Callithrix jacchus: one gene and its partners. The protein of the gene in region 5 interacts with the protein of the main gene of each other region in a pairwise test. Links are inferred from orthologs where the notes say so. Each region holds a gene or a part of one and is shown on either strand. Other genes may lie near its edges. The genes, in order: SYT17, CNTNAP2, OIT3, MAPKBP1, MEOX2 and UNC45A.

The links.
Region 1: the proteins of MEOX2 (region 5) and SYT17 interact in binary tests that used the Homo sapiens proteins (3 or more experiments, as listed by UniProt). The two-hybrid records come from large-scale screens. The link is inferred for Callithrix jacchus from reciprocal best matches to the Homo sapiens genes MEOX2 and SYT17.
Region 2: the proteins of MEOX2 (region 5) and CNTNAP2 interact in binary tests that used the Homo sapiens proteins (3 or more experiments, as listed by UniProt). The link is inferred for Callithrix jacchus from reciprocal best matches to the Homo sapiens genes MEOX2 and CNTNAP2.
Region 3: the proteins of MEOX2 (region 5) and OIT3 interact in binary tests that used the Homo sapiens proteins (3 or more experiments, as listed by UniProt). The two-hybrid records come from large-scale screens. The link is inferred for Callithrix jacchus from reciprocal best matches to the Homo sapiens genes MEOX2 and OIT3.
Region 4: the proteins of MEOX2 (region 5) and MAPKBP1 interact in binary tests that used the Homo sapiens proteins (3 or more experiments, as listed by UniProt). The two-hybrid records come from large-scale screens. The link is inferred for Callithrix jacchus from reciprocal best matches to the Homo sapiens genes MEOX2 and MAPKBP1.
Region 6: the proteins of MEOX2 (region 5) and UNC45A interact in binary tests that used the Homo sapiens proteins (3 or more experiments, as listed by UniProt). The two-hybrid records come from large-scale screens. The link is inferred for Callithrix jacchus from reciprocal best matches to the Homo sapiens genes MEOX2 and UNC45A.

What each region holds. Positions count from the first base shown.
Region 1 is NC_133513.1:20,686,639-20,690,138, reverse strand, and holds part of SYT17 (synaptotagmin-17), read right to left. Parts: intron 2,598-3,500; coding exon 2,477-2,597; intron 643-2,476; coding exon 487-642; intron 1-486. UniProt on the Homo sapiens protein: Plays a role in dendrite formation by melanocytes.
Region 2 is NC_133512.1:100,642,493-100,645,992, forward strand, and holds part of CNTNAP2 (contactin-associated protein-like 2), read right to left. Parts: intron 2,184-3,500; coding exon 1,919-2,183; intron 1-1,918. UniProt on the Homo sapiens protein: Required for gap junction formation. Required, with CNTNAP1, for radial and longitudinal organization of myelinated axons.
Region 3 is NC_133513.1:57,217,724-57,221,223, forward strand, and holds part of OIT3 (oncoprotein-induced transcript 3 protein), read right to left. Parts: intron 1,196-3,500; coding exon 780-1,195; exon of another isoform or gene 745-779; intron 1-744.
Region 4 is NC_133509.1:44,794,599-44,798,098, forward strand, and holds part of MAPKBP1 (mitogen-activated protein kinase-binding protein 1), read right to left. Parts: intron 2,417-3,500; 5' UTR 2,143-2,416; coding exon 1,922-2,142; intron 1-1,921. UniProt on the Homo sapiens protein: Negative regulator of NOD2 function. It down-regulates NOD2-induced processes such as activation of NF-kappa-B signaling, IL8 secretion and antibacterial response. Involved in JNK signaling pathway.
Region 5 is NC_133512.1:42,792,488-42,796,787, reverse strand, and holds the start of MEOX2 (homeobox protein MOX-2), read right to left. Parts: upstream 2,801-4,300; 5' UTR 2,522-2,800; coding exon 2,008-2,521; exon of another isoform or gene 1,967-2,007; intron 1-1,966. UniProt on the Homo sapiens protein: Mesodermal transcription factor that plays a key role in somitogenesis and somitogenesis and limb muscle differentiation. Required during limb development for normal appendicular muscle formation and for the normal regulation of myogenic genes.
Region 6 is NC_133507.1:19,486,719-19,490,218, forward strand, and holds part of UNC45A (protein unc-45 homolog A), read right to left. Parts: coding exon 3,500-3,500; intron 3,130-3,499; coding exon 2,989-3,129; intron 2,775-2,988; coding exon 2,647-2,774; intron 2,438-2,646; coding exon 2,371-2,437; intron 1,956-2,370; coding exon 1,842-1,955; intron 1,614-1,841; coding exon 1,498-1,613; intron 1-1,497.

The DNA of each region.
Region 1 (3,500 bases), on a different chromosome or scaffold from region 5:
TCTGAGTTAGGTGACCCTGTTTTCTCATATGCTTCTCTTATTTGACTGCAGGAAACTTGAATCATCACCACCATCATCATCAACACAAACACAAAGTGAGTACTTATTATGTACCAAGTATATTCCAAAGTCATAAGCCATTTACTATTCACAGCAAACCTAAGCCACAAGTACCATTATATATATTGTTCCCATTTTATAGATGAGGAAACTGAAGCTCAGGGGAGTTAAGTAACTTGCCAAAGACCTCAGTTATTGTGTGGCAGTATGAGGAAATGTGGCTCAAGTCCACATTTCTAACAATTATATTATAGGGCTGTATAAGTCCTGCCCAAGTTCATAGATGTTAAATGGCATCAACCCCATGTAGTTGAACAGCAGACATTAAGTTCTTAAATATAACTCTCTCTAGATGTCTTCTGTCTCCAGGACAGTAAGTTGAACAAGTCTTACCTGGAGTTCATCAGGTTTTGGAATGCTACCTACCTGTAAACACTAAGCTGGCATTTTCCAGTTCTTCTTGGGGAACTTTGAAGCTGAAGGATTCATTGTAGAAAGGATCAATTGTGCCTCTTAAGAAGGATGTCTTCTTGGTTTTCACAAGTTTGAGTCCATGCACCAACTGGATTTTCACAAAGGGGTCTGAAAATTAGATACAGCATCATAAAATGTTAGAAATCATGAAATCTAATTTGTCCAGTCATTGATCCATTCAACCTCCCATCCATCCATCCATCTTTTCATTCATCCATTCTTCTATCATCCACTAATTCAACTTTTCATTCATCTCAGTCCATCCGTTCATCCAGCTGTCCATCCGTCCATCTTCCCATCCATCAGTTCACTGATCCATTCATCATCTCACCATTCTTTTATCTATTCATTTCTATCCGTCTAGTTTCCCCTCTATTTGACAATTCAACCATCTATCCATCTATTATCTAACCATCATTTTCATCCATCTGCTTATCTGTTTATCCCTTTCCTTTTTCCTTTAGCCATCTAATATTTGTTGAGCTCCTGCCATGTGTCAGCATTGTGTTCATCTTACAGATGAGAAAAAACTGAGAACTCAAGGTGAGAAATCATTTCTTAAAGATCTTGCTGGTAGAGACAGAACCAGACTCAGAGCCTGCCCTGGCTTTCTGTTTGTGGAAACCCATTATCATTTCAGTGAGCCCATAGCCCATATACAGGAGAATAGAGATGGCAGAATTATAATTCATCTTTAGATCATTTTACATTTTACAAAGGGATTCATGTACATTATCTAATTTAATATTTGTTTAAACAACTTATCAAGATGAATACTGTTATTATGTCAATTTTTGAGACTGAGAAATTGAGGCATATAGAGGTTAAGTAACTTACCCAAAGCCACATCATTTGCAAGCCACATCATTTGACTCCTCAACCCTTAATGATTTGATCATACTGCCTCTCCCATTGCAGTGAGTCTGAAACTCTTCAGTCTTAAAACCATTGCCTCCAATGGCCCTTTCTAAGCCTCTGTTTTTATAATATGGTTTTTGAGAATGCAGATTGTCTTCTAGCTGTCACCTTATTGCAAAAGTAATTTATTTTAGCTATTGCACTTAGAGAAGACAATAATTCTACCACTGAGCTGAAGAGATCCCTGTGATTACAGGTGCTTTCACAGTAATGTCCTTTGCTGTCATGGGAGAAGCAACAGACAGATGGAATGGAATCTGTTCCCTTCCATTAAAAGTCATGTTTGAATGGTTTTTGCTATAATGTATATACTTTAAATACAAGTCTTTTCAGAGCTGGAATTCATGAAGATTTATGGTACACATGAAATGAGCTGGGGGAAAAAACCCTCAGGGTGTGTCCTCTACACTCACTGCTTAGAATGCATAGTTGGCTGGACACGGTGGCTCACGCCTGTAATCTCAGCACTTTGGGAGGCTGAGGCGGGAAGATCATGAGGTTAGGAGTTCGAGACCAGCCTAGCCAATATGGTGAAACCCTCTCTCTACTAAAATTACAAAAATTCGCTGGGCATGGTAGCACACGCCTGTAGTCCCAGTTGCTCTGGAGGTTGAGGCAGGAACATCACTTGAACCTGGGAGGCGAAGGTTGCAGTGAGCCGAGATCACACCACTGCACTCCAGCCTGGGAGACAGAGTAAGACTTCAGCTGGGGAGGTAGCGGGGTGAGAAGCATAGTCAATGTACACTATCACCACCTGCAGGATGGCGTCTTTATTGTAGGAATAGCATTTGGAAAGGCCAAGTCACTTCCTTGGGTTCAAAGAGGTAGGTTTCCTGTAGTTATTACAACTGGTCTCAGTCAACTCCCCAATTCCAGTAGGGTTACTAAGGTGGCATCATTTACCTGCCTCATCCTGAGATGAATAATGTTCATTCAGGATGCAGAAAAAGAAAATTAGGTCCCCCACACAAACATAGATGCCTCACTAATAAAGAGAGAGAAGGAGGGAATCACACGGTACCTGAACCTTGGCTCACATCTGTTTGAAGAAGTTGCTTGGCTCGGATGACATCAACATTCAGTCTGCCAGCACTTGGGAGATAATTCAGTGACAGAAGCAGCTCCCCTAGCTCCACTTCATTCTGCAGAGAAAGGAAGTAGTCAGGAAGTTGCTTTCTCCTCTTATTCCTTTTGCAGCCACCATGCAGGAAATTGACCGCAGCAGCTCACAAATGGGTTGCTGTGAGTGCTTCGGTGGACAGAAGTGTCTCTGTATATGACTTCTTTTCAATTCTGCCTCCAATTACTGTGGTTCATCTATCTCTGAGTTTTTTCCACTCTTAGGTCAATCAACAGCAACAACAATAACAACAAAAGCAGCAATAATAAAAAATAAATGCATGTTACACTGCCATGTACTACGCTAAGTGCTTCACGTGTAATGACTAACCTTCTAATGAAGTATTAACTCTGTTTAACAGATGAGGAAACTGAGGCTCGTGGGATTAAATAACATGTCCAAAGCCACAGCAAGAAAGTGGTAGAGCTGGTACTTAGACCCAGGGAGGCTGATTTGATCCCAGATACTCTGACTGCATGGGATACCTGGGAGGTAGAATGCCCTGCAGAGGAACTATCTGAGTGAAAAAATCTGTTCTTAACCTCTAATCTCCAATAGACTCCACACTTCTAACCACACCATAGCAACACTCAGCACGGTGACATCCCTTGTTGAAGAGCACCCATCCCCTTGATGTCAACTCTATCACACTGTGGAAAATTCACAGGAACACCTAAGCACATGACTCTATACTGCCAAAAATACCTAGAAAACAGGAGACCTCCTACTTCTCTGTCCCTTACCAAAAATAAACATATTGTAGAAAATTTCAACTATATACAAAATAATAAACTAGCATAACAAATCTCCATCTATCCATCAAAAGTCTGTAACAATTATTGACATTTTGCCACATGGTGTTTCGCCTATATCCTGACTTGCAAAACATTTTAGCTGAATATTTTAAACTAAGTCCTTGACATGG
Region 2 (3,500 bases), about 58 Mb from region 5:
CAATTAATTTGCACAGATTCTTGGGTAAATTGATAAAAAATGCTTCAGTTCACTTTTATTATATTTAAGCAACTATATTAAGGTGAATTAATTGTCACATATTGGTTTCCTTTGTTCATTCTATCTTTAATTTTCAAAATAAAAACAGCTTAAATTAGATGAGAGTATCTTGGAGTACTAAAATTTAGCAAAATCAAACTAATACATGTTTATTGACCACTAGGTTTCAGATCTTATTGTTTTAAATATATTGGCTCCTGTTACACAGAAACCTAAAGACAAATTGCATTTGCTCAGAGAATGCAAGGAGAGAGGCCTCCATACTAATATTTTTATATGTTTAGTCATTAGAAAATAATCATTAATCATAACGGAATGTAATGTGGGAGTTTTTCAACTGTGGTAAACATTTGTTTTGTTTTAGTTTTATCTGTTTTTCTGGTCTGTCCAGATATTTTCTATTTGCTGCAAATCTCCCTAGGTATATTTATAAAATACTATAGTGAGAAAATATGGTTGATTTTATCAACCATGGACATTCAAGGAAAAAGCAGAACTAATAAAGAGAAATGGAGAAAGTGAATATCTAGGTATTTCCCGATAGCTTTAGATTTTAATAATTTCGGCACATCTGTGACATAACAGTTCTTATGTCTTCCTTGCATCCTTTTCAGCAATAGACCATACATTCAGGCCATACACAAACATAAAGCCTATTTTACAAGAAAATGTATGCTCTATAGCAAGGGGTATTCTGTTAGTTTAAAGGGTCAGAGTATTGAACTCAACAAATATTCTAGAGTACCTCTTATACGTACTATTCTATATGCTAAAGACAGAAGAAGAAGGAGCATGGCCCCTGCTCTCAAGGAGCATGCAGCCTAGAGAGGAAATGAGTGGAACACAAATCACGGTGTGACTGAAAACATGTCCGGTGTATGCGTAGGGTGTCATGAGTGTTTCTGGCATATTCAGAAAACAGAGTCCATCGTCATCCAATTGAGCTCTCCGTCATGACCTCTTTCAGTATTTGCTACTTCTGTACTAAGTGTTCAGTAAATGTTAGTTTTCTTTGCATCTCCCATTTGTAAGTAGTTCTTCACACACACACACACACAGACACACACACACACGACTATTACAAAGAATATCTCAAGAAAAATAGATGAAAACAGTTACTATCTATCATTCCAATATTGTGACTATTTTTTCTTTGCTTGTAACATCTCGATTTAAAATATCACCTTTCTTTGGACCATATTTATCAAAGAACATTCCAAGGTTGCTAAGTCTATTCAAATAGAAAGAATACCACCTAAGCTTCCACTTGTCATGTCACTACAAAGCCAAATTTTAAATTATCCTATTTTTGGTAAGCCAGTCTTCCTTCAGTTCGTATACAAATCTTGTCATTCTGCTTTGTATTCACTTTTGTTTTCTTTCCAAACATAAGCATAATTTTAGCAAGATCATTCTGAAGTTGATTCCAGCAGTGGAATATTCCTTAAAGTTGTAATTAGTATAATCTTGTTACTATAAGTAAAAAGTACTTGAATGTTCATAAAGTCAAAAGATACCAGATACAACTGTGTATTTTTTTAACAAAAATTCTTTGTGTTTAAATATAAATTAATCTCTTAAAAGAACAGCAATTTTTCTATTAAATATAAGCTAGCATTGGTAAGGAATGTATTTTGCTTTTCCAATCTCAACCAGCTTTCTCCCTCACTCTTGCCTTGCCCTCTCAGCAACTTCCAAGTTTTCCTTACTCAGTTAGCACATAGTACAACTACGTGTCTTGAAGATCTGAATTACAACCTAATCCTCAGCACGTAACACCAGCAAAACAAAACAAAACATTAGCTTTGGAAATTGCAATAGCAGTTTCAGGAACAAATGTCAAATAGGTTTCACTGACCTGAGGAAATGTCTATTTGGCTCATCTTGGTCTGTGTGATGTTGATGTGAACACCCACTTTGCTTTCAGTGAGGTCAATCTCCACATTGCCCAGATTATCTGCAAAGTGACTGAAGACCAGGAGACCATTGGGGTTCCACGTCCTAAACTGGAAACTGACTGAGAACAGGTCCTGGTTAAGCCGTCCGGGCACCTCCAGATAACTTGTAGCATTGAAAAAGACAGGCACCGTATAGGGTTCCACACAAGAGAAGCTCAAATTTCCCTATAAAATAGAAAGGCATGCTCTCAGGAAGACACAGAATAAAATAAATGTCCACGTAAGACCACTGATGAAGGTAGAGTTCTGTAAGTTTTGAAGCAGAGCCTGAGCCTGAGCTAAACTCACACCCAGCTGCAGGGCATGGATTCAGTGACTGGAAGCACCAACATGAATCTACTTGGAGTGTGAGGCCTAACATTGAACAGCAGTGGCTGTCTAACTATAACAAGCAGCTTCCACCCCGGGACTGACAGCCTGACAGCCTGTTGAGATAAGCTGACCACGAGTTGTAAAGTGTGTATGTGTGTTGTGGGCATCAGTGTGGATCACTAGACTTTCTGAAGACAACAAAGTTGCTGCTGGCCGAACACAAGTCAGGGAGAGAGATGCTCTGCCCTATTCTGAGTAGTCAATGCTAACATTAATTAACATATTACTCTGGTCTCAGTACGGACTATGATCATATGTTTGCTATTTGTGAAACCGGTATTTTAGAAAAAATATTCTTGGATTTTTATCTATACACCTTATGTATTTTTATTTATATACCTTATATATGCATAGATAGATAAATATTGTTTTTAGTGTTAATGTAATTGTGGTTATTGCAGATTATTCTATTACCAACTCAAAATCCCATTTAAATTCCCATGAAATGTGCTTGTATCACAAGGCATTCATTCCTGTGGAACTAGCAGTATAAATGGGCAAAATGGAAACAAAACTTCTAATAATTCAGGCTTGTCCTTCCCTATCCATACTCCTCCTTCTTGATATAAGCAAGAACAATTCACATTGATTTAGCATTCAGATACACTAAATTTTATATTTTAGTGCCTAACATCTCTTTACAGATCTAAAAATCTGTATTTGCTTCTAATTTCTTTTATCCTATAATAATATTTTAAGGAATGTAATTGGATAATATTTCATTGGGTCTATCTCTCTATCTTTTTCTTTTTCTCTCTATATTTTTTACACCACCACATATATATATACCAGATACTGATTTCTTCCATTTAAGCACATTAACCAATAAATCTAAGGCAGGCTGTCTCCCTGAATTAATATTCAAATTAAATTTGCTCTGTACCATCACAGATGATTATTTTAAAACTGATGAAAAGAACTGCCTATGCATAATAACTGAGATTTTATAACTGACCACATACCATTGTTGAGGGGATTGTCTCCCTAACAAAATTAAAGATCCTTCCAGAGTAATGGTGCTGACTCTGGAGTCAGCACATAATGAGGGAATGAGTGCGTGGGGGAAGAGGAGGTAGAATGAGTGCTGAGTCAATTTCACTGAAATATCAG
Region 3 (3,500 bases), on a different chromosome or scaffold from region 5:
TCTGAGCAGGTTACTCAATCCTACAGGGAATCCTGCAGGGAATCAGATGATTTCCTGTCCTCAGTTCTAGTCCAGACCATGTTACCTAGTCTAGCTGATAATGCATTTCTACTGAATGCCCACTGAACTTCTCTTCCTAGGTATCCTGCAGGTATCTGAAAAATGAACTTATTCAATATATCATTTTGAATGACGAAATTCAGCATTTTTACCTCAAATCTGCTTTTCTATACGCATCTTTTCATCTTGGTTAATAGGATCTAGTCAGTCACATGGGCTAGACCCCTAGGAGCCTTTTTTTTTTTTTTTTGAGATGGAATTTTGCTCTTGTCACCTAGGCTAGAGTGCAGTGGTGCAATCTTGGCTCACTGCAACCTCTACCTCCCGGGTTCAAGCGAGTCTCCTGCCTCAGCCTCCCAAGTAGCTGGGATTACAGGCACCCACCACCACACCCAGCTAATTTTTGTGTTTTGAGTAGAGACAGGGTTTCACCATGTTGGCCAGGCTGGTCTCAAACTCTTGACCGCAGGTGATCCACCCACCTTGGCCTCCCAAAGCGCTAGGATTACAGGTGTGAGCCACCATGCCTGGCCTAGGAGCCATTTTTTACTCTCCTTTCCCTCACTGGTTTTTACCTCCAAAACGTCAATAAGTGGTCCCTGAACTAGCAGAGGGCTGACAGTTGTGCCATGCAGTTTTAGTAAATGGCTGGGTGTGCTGTGAACTTAGAAGTCGGATACAAACTAGGGGTGATGAGATGGTTCCGGCAGCAGCATTACCCATCCCGGATGAGGTAGTATTTCAGGACCTCGTCAATCTTGGAGGTGGGGGTGGCAAAGCAGCTCTCCACCAAGCTTTCCAAGCTGCTCACGTGCACCAGAGGCTCGATGCCAAAGTAGAGGGAGTCACGAAGCTTGAGGGTGGGCAAAGCTTCCCGGTAAGGTTCCTCAAACTCATCGTCCTTGAAGATCTCCAGAGTGAATGGGAAGATCCCATGATTTCGGCTCATGATTTCCAGCGGGGAGTTTCGAAGGTTGGGAACGTATCCTTCAGAAATGGTGTACAGGCGTGGAAACTCGCAGGTCACCGGGATCAGCAGCTTGCTGGTTCGGATGATGAAGTCCCCGCTGCTCCCCGGGGTCTGCTTGGGTAGACCTGTCACAAGGTTGCTGGCCACGATCTTGTCATTCACCACCTAAGCCAGGCCAGGGTGAGGAGAGGAAAGAGATTGTCTATTTACTTCTACAGTTTTTTCCCTCCCCTCTCACCTTAACATTCTACCAGCTTCTATTTATATCAAAATGCATTACAGATTTGGTTGCCTAAGGCTGAAGTTTTGTTTTGTTTTTTCCTATTGCCCTCCTTTTGTTATCAAGCCATCCTGACTGTTAAGAGTCTTAGCTCTACCAAAACACAGCCAGACTGCGTCTTTAAGTGGGACCCTGATCCCTCCTTATCTCTGGGCAGGACCTCCCAACTGGGGCCTCCAGCCAGCTCTGCCCACCCATATTCTCTGGCAGACAGAGTTTTGATTTCTTCCTGGGATGAAGTGCCCAGAGGGAGGAGCAGACTGCCATCTTTGCTGTTTGGACAACTTAGCCATTCTAGCCTGTGGGGAGTCCAAACTGTCTGGGGGTGAAAGTAGTACCCCAGCATGGTATAGCTGCTCTAGGGAACTGTCTGGGGGTGAAAGCAGTACCCATCATGGTATGGCTGCTCTAGGGAACTGTCTGGGGGTGAAAGCAATACCCATCATGGTATGGCTGCTCTAGGGAACTGTCTGGGGGTGAAAGCAGTACCCATCATGGTATGGCTGCTCTAGGGAACTGTCTGGGGGTGAAAGCAGTACCCATCATGGGATGGCTGCTCTAGGGAACTGTCTGGGGGTGAAAGCAGTACCCATCATGGTATGGCTGCTCTAGGGAACTGTCTGGGGGTGAAAGCAGTACCCCAGCATGGTACAGCTGCTCTGGGGAGCTGACTGGGGGTGAAAGCAGTACTCCAGCATGGTATAACTGCTCTAGGGAGCTGTCTGGGGGTGAAAACAGTACCCAGCATGGTATAGTTGCTCTAGGAAACTGTCTGGGGGTGAAAGCAGTACCCCAGCGTGGTACAGCTGCTCTGGGGAGCTGACTGGGGGTGAAGCAGTACCCAACATGGTATAGCTGCTCTAGGGAACTGTCTGGGGGTAAAAGCAGTACCCCAGCATGGTATAGCTGCTCTAAGAAATTGTCTGGGGGTGAAATTAGTACCCAGCATGGTATAGCTGCTCTAAGAAACTCCCTGGGGGTGAAAGCAGTACCCCAGCATGGTATAGCTGCTCTAAGAAACTGTCTGGGGGTGAAATTAGTACCCAGCATGGTATAGCTGCTCTAGGAAACTGTCTGGGGGTGAAAGCAGTACCCCAGCATGGTATAGCTGCTCTAGGAAACTCTCTGGGGGTGAAGGCAGTACCCCAGCATGGTATAGCTGCTCTAGGAAACTCTCTTGGGGTGAAAGCAGTACCCCAGCATGGTATAGCTGCTCTAAGAAACTTTCTGGGGGTGAAATTAGTACCCAGCATGGTATAGCTGCTCTAGGAAACTGTCTGGGGGTGAAAGCAGTACCCCAGCATGGCATAGTGGCCATACTGCTTCTTTAAGCAGGTCCTCGATCCTTACTCCTGGCTGGGTGAGATCTCCCAACTGGAGTATCCAGCTACCTCCTATAGGTGTGTTCAGGTCAGCAACAGTTCTGTACCCCACTGAGATGGAGCTCCCAGAGGAAGAGGGAGACCACCATCTTTGCTGTTTCAGCAACTGAGCTCTTTCAGCCTCCAGGCTTTGAAGAGGGCAACCTGATTGAAACAAGGGGTGGTGGGGGTGGGGGGTGGAAATGGTACTCCAGCACAGTTCAGTCACTCTATGAAAGCAGGGCTAGACTGCTTCTTTAAGTAGGTCCCCAGTCCTTTTCCTCCTGGCTGGCTGAGACCTCCCAACTGGGGTTTCCAGCCACCACCTAATGGTATGTTAAGGCTGGCAACAGGTCTGTACTCTGCTGGGATGGAGCTCCAGAGGAAGGGGCAGCCTGCTATCTTTGCTGTTTCACAGCCTTCACTGGTGATACCTCCAGGTACTGGAAAATATGAGGGAATTAGGGACTGGAACAGACGCCCAATAAACCACAGCAGCCCTACAGAAAAGTGGCCAGACTGTTAAAGGGGGGGAGGGGGGAAGGGGGAAGAAGCCTGGGCACGGTGGCTCATGCCTGTAATCCCAGCACTTTGGTAGTCCAAGGCAGGTGGATCACCTGAGGTCAGGAGTTTGAGACCAGACTGGCCAACATGGTGAAACCCTGTTTCTACTAAAAAATAAACAAAAATTAGCAGGGCATGGTGGCAGGCACCTGTAATTCCAGCTACTCAGGAGGCTGAGGCAGAAGAATCACTTGAACACAGGAGGTGGAGGTTGCAGTGAGCCAAGATTGCACCACTGCACTCCAGCCTGGGCAACAAGAACGAG
Region 4 (3,500 bases), on a different chromosome or scaffold from region 5:
TTTTGTATTTTTTGTAGAGAGAAGATCTTGCCACGTTGCCCAGGCTAATCTTGAACTCTTGAGCTCAAGGGATCTGCCTCCCAACGTGCTGGGATTACAGCACAAGCCACCACACCCAGCCTCCACTGCTTTCTTCTGGCAAACTGTTCTTTCTCCTTTTCCCCATCCAAGACAGCCTATCTCTGTAGGCCCACAAGGGTGAAAGGGCTCCCTGGAAACCTGTCCCCACTACCAGGTCCCTAAATACCAGCTCTTTCTCTGGTCATACCCACAAAGGGTAGCAGGGACACAGGCCATCCCACAGCCCTTGTGCATACCTCAGGAAGGGGTATAGGAGGGAAGAAGAAATGTATTTGGGCAAAGCAGGCCTCAGGTATACAGCCTGTATGCAGGCTTGGGGCCACATGTATGTCTATCAAGCATGTGTGCCTTAAGATGTAAGGCCTCTTGTTTGCACCCATGTGTGTACTTGGCAAGAGCTGGCCCCCCACACCCTCCATGTGTTGAGTGAGGAAGGAAGTGGGAGGCCAGGCATGGGGCCACACAGCAGAGAGGCTCAGTCAGATAGGGTAGGGGGAGAGAGAGAGAGCCTGAGAAGGCCCAGGATAGCCTTACAGTGCCACGGAGGTCCCAGGCCCCACCTTGAAAATCCCTGGCTCCAAGAAACCTGAGAAGAGCTACCCTGACTGCCAGAAGCAGATAATCAAGGACTCTGTCCACCTCGCAGAGAAGGTGGGGCAACCTCTCCCATCAGGCAGCAAGGCTGCTGGATGGAATCAGTCCTGCCTTTCCAGAGGCAGCTCCGGAGACAGAAGCTGGGTAGTAGGAATCAGGGGCAAGAAGCCAAAGGCCAATAGCCAGGCAGCTTCTCCTCAGGCTTCTTGGCCGTCAGCAGGCCCTGGCCCATTACCCCTTGCCCGCCTCACCTCTTCATTAGCACTGAACTAGCAGACAGGAGCAAGCCTAGAGGCTGCGATTAGGAAAGGCAGGGAGGAGGGAAAGGGCAGACAGCTACTTCCCCAGGCCTGACTTTCCCGAGTGGGACCTCACTGCAGCCCCTGTATCTGAACACCACTACCGGCTGGAACCGTGAAGGGAGGTAGGTGCAAGCTGCTAGTGAATGCTAAGCATCTTGGGCTCAATAAACCACTTCAATATGCAAATTCTGGGACACTGGGACCTCCAATGTGACCGGATATGCCCAGAACTGCCAGGCTGACCAACAGCTGTGGAATTTCTGCGCCACATCATTTTCTCCTCAAATCCGCCACTCCTCCTCACTATTTTATTTCTCCTTTCTCCATTTCCTACTCTTTCCTTGTTCCTGTTTCCTTTTTCCTTTCTCTCTTTTTGGTTTTGTTTTTTTGAGACAAAGTCTCACTGTGTTGCCCAGGCTGGTCTTGAACTCCTGGGCTCAAGCAATCCTCCTGCCTCATCCTCCCAAGTAGCTGGGATTACAGGCCCATGCCACCCTACTCAGCCCTTCCTTTTTTTTTGGAGACAGGGTCTCATTCTGTCCACCCAGGCTGAAGTGCAGTGGCTCAATCTCAGCTCACTGCAACCTTCACCTCCCAGGTTCAAGCAATTCTCCTGTTTCAGCCACCCGAGTGGCGGGGATTACAGGCATCCATCACCAAGTCTGGCTCCTTTTTTTGTATTTTTAGTAGAGACGGGGTTTCACCATATTGGTCAGACTTTTCTTGAACTCCTGACCTCAGGTAATCCACCCATCTTGGCCTCCCAAAATGTTGAGATTAGACGTATGTGCCACTACGCCCAGCCAGATTTATTTAGATTTTAATACTTTATGCCATGTATAAAAAGTAATACCCCCAGGCCCGCCACCATCGTGAATTCAGAGCTCAGAAAGTTCTCAGGGGTTAACCAATGTTTTCTGAACCTTCTTCCAATCTGTGCTGACCTGAGACCCTCTGCAGGCACGTCTCTCCAGCAAAGGCTTCTAGTCTGAATGGGTACGAGTTCCTTGGCTTTTGGATTCGTTACACAGGAACCATGGTAGAGGTCTTCAGCTGAGAGTTGATCTAATTGAATTGACTTGATGCATAATCCAGTCAACCATATTCCAAATCCAGAAAAACTTGGCTCTATGTGCAATCTTAGGAGTTTTGCCTTAATTCTCATCCCAAAGCAGGATTTTGGCCTTTAAAGGGCAGTGCATCGGACTGCTTAAAACACTTTTCATGTCACTGCATTCAAACTCAGTCTTCCTGTGACACGACATCTTGTCTCCTCCTCCTATGTTCAGCTCCACGGTGGAAGGAAGAGGGGGATGGAGTGTGCTTCTATATAGACAGAAGGATGGCTGGCTAGAGGCAATGAGGCGATCTCTCCGTCCTCTAATACACCGCCTGGCCCCAGTATAGCCTAAGAAATTCTCAGGTGTGGCAGAGAAGAGCTAAGCAAGAAAAGGAACCACATAGAGGTCATCGCTTAAGGGAGTATTTTTATTTGGAAGCCATCCAACATGAGAAAGAGAAAGAGAGCAAGAGAGAGCCTGAAAGGCCCGGGAAAACCTTACAGTGCCATGGAGGTCCTGGGCCCCACCCTGAGAATCCCTGGCCCCAAGAGACCTGAGAATAACCCCCCCGACTGCCAGAAGCAGACAATCAAGGACTCTGCCCACCTCGCAGAGAAGGCCAGGGCAACCTCTCCCACCAGGCAGCAAGGCTGCTGGATGGAATCAGGTTCTGATTCCATGGTCAAAGTTCCATATGCAGGGATGGTAACAAAGATGCTGAAGTGAGAGCAGCATGGCCAAGGTTCCCTGTGTGCCTGGCTTGTTGAGATCCAACCTGTTCTCAAAAGCAGCAAGGAGCCTTCTCAGCCTTCTTGGTGAACTCTGAGCAAGCTCCTAGGTCAGCGAGGGAGAGGAGGGCGGGGCCCGGTTTGTATCAGTCTTTCCCTCCACATCCCCTGACCCTGCCCAGCTGGGCAAGCCCTTCCTACAGTGCTTCCTGGGATTTCACCACATGCCAAGGGCTGGGTTGGTCCAACCAGCTGAGTCCTGCAACTCAGCACCTGCGGGTGCAGAGCGGCTGCTCACTCTCACTGGGAGGGTGTAAGGCCTCAGTACATCCAGGCCTCAACCTGGGGGAGTCATGTGGTGGAGTACCCGCGCCAGGTGCTGGGCCCACTGCCCAGGAAGGGCCAAGCCTTCAACATCCCCTTCCTGACACAGGTCCGGGCCTGCTGCTACCACAGAGAGCCCAGGATTCCCACAGGATCTACCTCCTACCACTCTCCATCCCCCAATGGGATGAGCCACGCATGGGGCAGCACAGACAGGGAGCAGGACACAGGAGGTCCAACTAGAGACCCTGGGCCTTTGAATGTTTTTCTTTGAGACCAGGTAAAGTCTGAGAGTGACTCACAGAGGCATCCCAAAGGGGCTTCCCGCCTCACTCAAAAGTCACCCTCTAGCCCTATTTATCATTACAACCCTTCCTGCATCACTGAGACTGTTTATACTGTTTCCAATA
Region 5 (4,300 bases):
TTAATTTATTCATAATTTATTCAGCTGACACAAACACTTATATTTGTTTGTTTTTCCATTACCCTCATTATCAGCTTCAACATGTAGAAATGAACTTAATTTTGTTAAATGGCTATTTCCCACACAGTTGGGGGAAGAGACAAATGTTATTAAATTATTCCTTTTTAAAAAAAAAAGTTTTATTAAAATAAATTAAGGAAATCAGTTATTGAATTCCATTTTCTTGGTTTCCCCCAAACAAAATAACATGTGCTTGCATGAAAATTGTTTGCCCTAAGAAACTTAAGGGCAGTGGCTCAGTTCCGGAAGCATAAGGCTATCATGTAGGTTTCTCATTGCAGAAAAATAAAATGAACAGTAAGGGCTTATGGGAATTGCAAGAGTACTCTCATCAGCCTGAACTGGGATCTCTTTCAAAAGTTACACTGATATCGAATGTTCAGTTTATAAAATTGTCACTGCATTCTAAAATCGACGGTTTTTCTAATAAAAATTGAAACCTTCTTACAACGATTAACCTTCCACTATCTAAAGGGAGTTTCACTTATAGTTAGGAAAATACAGTAAATATCAGTGACACCACTGCTAACTTTCTTATAAAAACTAATTTGTGATTGAACATTAAAAGTTCATCCCCTATCCTTGGAAAATAAAAGTTATTTTATTCTTCTGACAGAAGAATCTATCCCATACTAACGCTGAAGAACGATTGATATTGCTGCGAAGGGGAGAGGAATATTAAACATGCGGTCAATCATTTTCATTTATGTGACATCTCACCTAAAGCTTTAAAAAGCATAAACATTCCAATCCTTCAAACCAATATATGGGATTACCTTCTAGGACTATTATTAACCCAGTTCCGCAGAGGAAGAAAAATATACAAATATTATATTAAACAAATAATACCTTCCAAAAAGATGGAAGCCAGGGTGCACCATAGCCACGAAAGAAAACTCACAAGTCTCTCAATTTTAAAGTATCTTTTAACAATTTTATGATAATAGAAGTAGGTCAGAGCTTTGAAAAGTTGTCTGGAAAACTTTGAGTTTCTCTGGATTGCTACAATTTACTCTGCAAGTTGTGCCTTCAAGCACCAGAGGTCAGGAAGATTCCCCTTTTGCGTGGCTGCTCAAATTATCCTCACTGAAATCAGCGCTTCCTGCGCACCCTTGCATACGACCTTCAGGCACGTAGCTAACTGACACTACCCAAGTTGCTGTTCGCTACCCAGTATTTGCCGCAGCTAAAACCAACTTGGTAGAGGGATTTATTTTCCACTCTTGAAATTTAGATTCTGTAATTAACTTACACAACATGAACATGTACTATATTAAGGTTCGTCTTTCTTCCAGCGTGAGCATGTATTTATTTACAATTCTCTGACACATTCCTTAAAATCTGAATTCCTAGATAATATCTTCTTCCCTAAGAAGGGGAAATTTTTACCATTTGAAATAGGGTGCTATTTAAAGAACTCTCAAACAAGAATGTTTAAAAAAAAAAAACTAAAACTTTTTTTTTTTTCTCATGTGCTCTGCCAAGTTCCATTGCAAGTTCCAAATATTGTGCAATAATTTGGAAATCCAGTTTACGATGGGAAAAGTCAAGCCACTCAGAGTCGGGAACTTGCAAGAGAAAAGTCAAGAAGCAGCACCCGCACGCACGCACGCCTGCCCAACGGACGCGGCATCCCTGGGCACACGCCCCTCCCTCCCCCGCGCTGGGATGGAAGGTCACGCTTCGCAATCGATTTCACAGCCACTTGTCCTTTTTTATCAACCTTCTGGTAAACTAGTTTAGGACCTTGGAGAGCTTAGAGCTGCTAGCTGTGTTGCTCTCGGATAAACACGTGCCCCCAAATAACAGGACCAAAGCTTCACCGCCGAATTTAACACATTCCCCTCTTCCCCGCCGCCACCCTCCAGGGCCAGACTCTTCCCTGGCATCTCCCCGCCCCCTTTCCAGGCCGGCGCGCACTCTCGAGGGTGCCTGGCGCTCTCTTACCTGAGCTGTCGCTTTTCCTCTTGCCACCGCTTCGTTTCTCCGCCTCCGCAGGTGACAGTGCCTGGCGACCGTAGTCCCCTGGCGCGCACGAGGCCCCGGTCGGGGTGCTGGAGCCCAAGCTGGAAGAGTTGGAACACAGGACAGGCGGGCTGCTCCCCAACTCTGGGGGTCCTCCGGAGTCGGGCTGGAGGCAGAGGCTGTGCCGAGCCGCAGTCGGTGGGGAGGACATCTGCGGGAGGTGCCAATTGGTTTGCAGAGCCTGGTGCTGCTGCTGCTGATGGTGGTGATGGTGGTGATGATGGTGGTGGTGGTGCCCCCTGTGATGCTGGCTGGCAAACATGCCCTCTTCGTTGGGGTATCCCGCGATTATGCAAGATGAGGAAGAAGTAGAGAGCTCGGGGTAAGACATATGGTCAGATCTTCCATGCAGGGCTAGAGAGGATTGGGAGAACGGGTGCAAGCCTTGTGCCGTGGCGTGAGGGCTGCGCAGGCAGCCAAAGAGCGGGTGTTCCATAGCATGCAAGTTTCGGGTTCCAGGCAGAAGACTTCACGGCGGTTCTAAAGGCCACCACCCTCTGTCACTTTTCACTGGAAACCGTGTGATGTTTTTTACCCCTCTCAAAGCAATAGCCGTGCACTTCTGCAGAGCTCGGATAATCCCGGTCCTGAGCCCTAACGGCCAGTCTCCTTTACATATGAACAGTCGGACCTGGAAGAGCTTCCCTGAGCTACTCAGATGTCAAGAGTGGGAGAGGTTGAAGCCAAAAGAAGGTGGTCCCAGTGAACTGCCTTCAGGGGGAAATGGCTCTGAGAGGTTATAAATAGACTGTAACGTGAGCTGGGGGCTGGCTTAGGAGCCCAGAGTTGACCACATGCAAACTCCCTCCAAAACTCCCGCTCAGTCTGCGCCACGCGCTCCCAGTTCCACTTCCTATCGCCGGCTGGACAGACGCAGAGCGTCCACGCCCGCCTAGCCCTGCCAGCTACCAGGACTACAAGCGGCGCGCCAGCGTCTAAATCCCGCCCGGGAGGGCAGCGGCTCTGCCCTCCAGACTCTGGAGGCCAGGGCGCGGCGCGCACCAGCGCCAACCCAGCACCCTGTTTCCCACCTACTAATTTTTCTCTTGGGAAAACGTAACTTGTCAGTGTCATTTGGGAACTGTCACCTGCAGAAAAGCTAGGGATACGCCTAGCCTTTGAGGAACACGAAAGAAGTGATAGGGTTAAAGGAAAAGATCAGAGCTAGCCTGGCGCACTCTGGAAGTTTTTCAAACTTCGCATCTTCCCGTGCCCAGGGCGCCGCCGCGCGCCTAGGTTTTCGCAGTTAGTTTCTGTGGGTGGTGGTTAAGAGGCTGGGACGCCAGGTCTGAGGTTTCGGGGACGTGCACCATGGCCTGGAAAGTGTGGTTCACAGTGCGGAAAGACCTGAGAGGAAGACCTAAGGAAGACCTGGTGGGGTGGGTGGGAGGTAAGCGCGAATTGCAGATGCCTGCTCTCTGGCATCCTCACGTGCGATGCCCGGTGGAGTCTCCCTCCCCCCCGCTTTCCTGGTCTCGCTCAATTTCCTAGCCACTCGTCCACCAAGAAGAAATTTTCCTGGGTCAAGAATTATTTCCAAGCGATTTTGTCCCAGTCACATGAGATGTGTAGATTTGCATGCACATTTCTAGCCTCTCCCCTCCGGAGCTAGCCCAGGTCTCTTCAGTTCCCTCTAGAAATCCACTCTTCTGCTCAAAAATAAATCCACTAATCGTGTCTCTTAACACCACTGCTCCATTTACTGAGAAATCTTAAATTTCGATAGCTCTAAGAATTCACTAAGCTTGGGCGCTTGATTACATCTTTGCATCCCTGAAAATAAACTCGATAACTTGCCTCCAGTAAGCATGGGAGAGCGAGGGCAGGGCTTTGATACTGCCACTTGCTTGGTGAGCGACAAGATCCGCTGGGGCACAGTCGTTTATACACAAGTGAATGGGCTTTAATGAGCAGGAGGAACAGTCACGTCGGATCTGGGACGTGTCGGATCAGGAGAATATCTGTAGTCACCTATTCCACCCGGAGCCCCGACTGCACCACCAGCAGTGTCGCCCTGTTATTTTCATTGTCTCAGGTGTCCAGAGGATGGTGACCAGGTCTTTGAAGTTGTTAATGGGATTAATGGGTACAGCAAACTGGGCTAGACATCTGGTTTGAATTAGGAAAAAGTATTGATTAATCTTTGAGAGGTGTCCCCAAAGCAGAACCTTTCCTCTCCTCTTCCAGTCCCCCTGTTTAAGCCTATCTTTTCTTT
Region 6 (3,500 bases), on a different chromosome or scaffold from region 5:
AGCCTGGGTAACAAGCAAAACTCCGTCTCAAAAAAAAAAAAAAAAAAAAAGAAATGGGGTTTCACCATCACATTGGCCAGACTGGTCTCAAACTCCTGACCTCAGGTGATCTGCCCACCTCACCCTCTCTCAGGGATTACAGGCCTGAGCTACTGCGCCTAGCCCAGGTATTGTCCCTTCTAACTCTCATGTTGAACTGTAAACCCTATGCCCTCTACCTTGACCCTAAGCCTCGTGGGAGGTGACTGGGTCATGGGGTGGGTCCCTCGTCGCTTGGTACAGTCCTCTCGATAGTGAATTCTTATGAGATCTGGTTGTTTCAAAGTGTGTGGCATCTCCCCCGACTCTCTTGCCCTTAGTTTCACCAGGTTACGTGCCTGCTCCTGCTTCGCCTTCTATGAGTAAAAGCTCTCTGAGGCCTCCCCAGAAGGTGAGCAAATGCTGACACCATGCTTATACAGCCTGTAGAACCACGAACCAATTAAACCTCTTTTCTTTAGAAACTACCCAGTGTCAGGTATTCCTTTACAGCAATGCGAGAACAGATGAACACAGGCAGCATCATTGAGACTTCCTACATCTGCTCCACCTCCGCACCCACACCCTCATGCAGTCAAGTCCTGGGCTGAGGATTTTCCTTGGCCACATCCAAGGACCCTCTTGCTGTGAACTACAGTGCCTGTTACCCATTTTTTTTTTTTTTGAGACAGAGTTTTGCTCTTGTTGCCCAGGCTGGAGTGCAATGGCGCCATCTTTGCTCACAGCAACCTCCACCTCCCAGTGATCCTCCTGCCTCAGCCTCCCAATTAGCTGGGATTATAGGCATGCACCACCATGCCCAGCTAACTTTGTATTTTTTAGTAGAGAAGGGATTCCTCCGTGTTGGTCAGGCTGGTCTTGAACTCCCGACCTCAAGTGATCCGCCCACCTAGGCCTCCCAAAGTGCTGAGATTACAGGTGTGAGCCGCCGCACCTGGCCTCATTTGAGTACTGACCTGACCAGGCACCTATATCATCTTAGTTAATCCTCACCACAGCGCTGTGGTGAAGGTGCAGGTGTAATCATCATCACTACTGCTTTGCAGAAGAGGAAACAGGGGCTGAGTAATGAGTCCCACGTTCAAAGTCACAGTAATGAAACTAAAACATGCTGATATGGCACAGTGCTAGGAGCCAGGTACCTATGTAGTAAGTACTTTTAAGTGTATTTTCTCATTTCATTCTCCTCATCACTATGCCGTGAGGTAGGTGCTATAATCATCCCATTTCCCAGAGGGAGACACTGAGGCAGAGCAGTGAAGTAACTTGCTTGTGGTGACACATTTGCATCAGGGAAGCGAGGCAATGTGCCTCCAGAGCCTGCCATGCCATGGTGCCTCTTGGCCTGGCTTCTCCTCTCTAAAATTGCCAAGGAGCCACTGAGGCCACAAAAGCCAGTGACTGGGATATTCCAAATCCTGACACCTGGCCCAGGCCCCGCATCCCAAGGAGGCTTACCGGAGCCTCTCGCTGATCCCCGCCAAGTTTGTTAGGGCCATGAGCGCCTCGAAGTTCTGCAGGCCTGAGCAGTTCAGGTGCAACAGGGACACAAGGGGCCGGACCACCTCGTAGATCTGCAATGTGCACCCTACCTGTCAGGGCTACTACCGCAGCCCCCACAGCCCCACCAACCCGGCGGGGAGGAGCCCACCCGCAGAGAGTGCTCCGCTCTCAGGCTGTCCTCCCTACCCAGGGCTCAGCAAAGCTGAAACTTCCTGCTGGTCCCAAAGGGCAGCTACAGCCCAGCCCACAGGCCACTAGGGACAGAGGGAGTGGAAAGGCCGGAGCAGGAAGATACACACCCGCTCGCCAGGGAAGGTCATCTCAGGGTTGGAGGTGATGGTGAGCTTGGCAAGGGCCTGGGCTGCTTTTGTCTGCCCCACATCCGTGCCTTCCAGGGCCAGTGGGATCAGTGCCTGCAGTAACAAGCCCGTCACTGCTCAGGACGTGCCTGGGAGTGTAAGACCCAAACCATCAGGCCCCAAGGCCCTGACTGTGTCACCCTCACCCTCTTCCCTCTCACAGGCTGGACTCCCAGTGTAGACCCTCTCACCCAAACATTTCCTGAAACCCCTACTAAGGGCTGGACATGGATTGTGCTGGGCACCAGAGCCATGGAGGTCAACGAGACAAAGGAATAGGAGGAGAGCCCAGGCCATTCACAAGCCTGCCCGCTTCCACATCCCTCTCTCAGCGGGACAATGTCCTTCTGGCCATTACTCATGTTTTCCTGTCCCACATCTAACACCCAGCTCTGGCGTGGCAGCCGCTGAGTCACGTTTTATAAGCTGATTGCTCAGCCGGCAGGAAGGGGTGTGTAAACCAGCTTACCCTGCCGCCTCCCTGGGCAACCACGGTGCCTCGGTCCTCTACCTCTTCCACCAAAGCCAGGAAGACCCTATGGGGAGAAGGCAGTGGTGGGCAGGCAGCTCTGGGACTCTGGCAGGCAGACGCTCCATTCCTGCACTCAGCAAGGAAGGCAGCCAGGCAGGCAGCCCTGTCACTCTAAGAGGCCCACAGCACTGGAACCTGCAGCCTCTGGAGCCACATCCGCAGCCCCGAAGCCCAGTAGTTGGGCAAGGCTGGCTCCCACCAAGGCTGGCTCACCTGGAGAGCAGCTCTCGGCAGGAATTGGTCAGCACAGGGCTCTCAGTCTTCACCATGCATACCATGGCTGACACCACACCCGCTGCCAGCAGCTTCTTCACTCGAGCCCGCACAAAGCTTGGCTTGTCCTGGGGGAGGAGGCAGCTTAGGAGGGGGCCCTGGGCTGACTTGCAGAGAAAGTGGGAACAACCTTCTCATAGCAGCAACTGAGGAACTGGGCAATGAAACAGCCAGACAAAGGGAAAGAAGCTGGCTTAAATGGGAAGCTGGTCTACTGCGGATGCCCTGGGTCAACTGGTCCCCATGACGGGGCAACCTCTGGCCCCTCTGGCGGCCCCTCACCTTGGGGTGCTGCTCAGGCACGTGCTGCTTGGCATACTTGGCCAGCTCCACCATCTTGGGATCAGGCTCCTCAAAGTCGTAGCTGTTGGTGCAGTTAACCAGCGCAGAGGCCACCGCAAAGAGCACCGACCTCTCCTCAGACTGCCAGGATGGAGAGGCATTCGCAGGCCACCCTGGGCCAGAGCAGCACTCGGGTAAATGCTGCCCAGGCCCAGGCCCCCAATTCCACCCTCAGCTGGGGCCCTAGGGTACAGGATGAATTCAGGAAGCTCCCCAGGCCCCAGACTTTGGGAGCTTACAAACTGGACCTCCCCAGCTCCTCCAAGGAGAACATCCTTGCTACCTGCACTGGTGCTGGCCAACGTGCCCACACCACACAGAGCAGCCACTCAGCCACCAGCCCTCCTCCCTGGGAGCAAAAGACCCCACTGGCCAAGCCCTGCTGAGAAAGCCTGGTAAGCTCTATTCCTAAACCGTTTCCCCAGGTGGACAGCAGGAACCACAGAGCTACC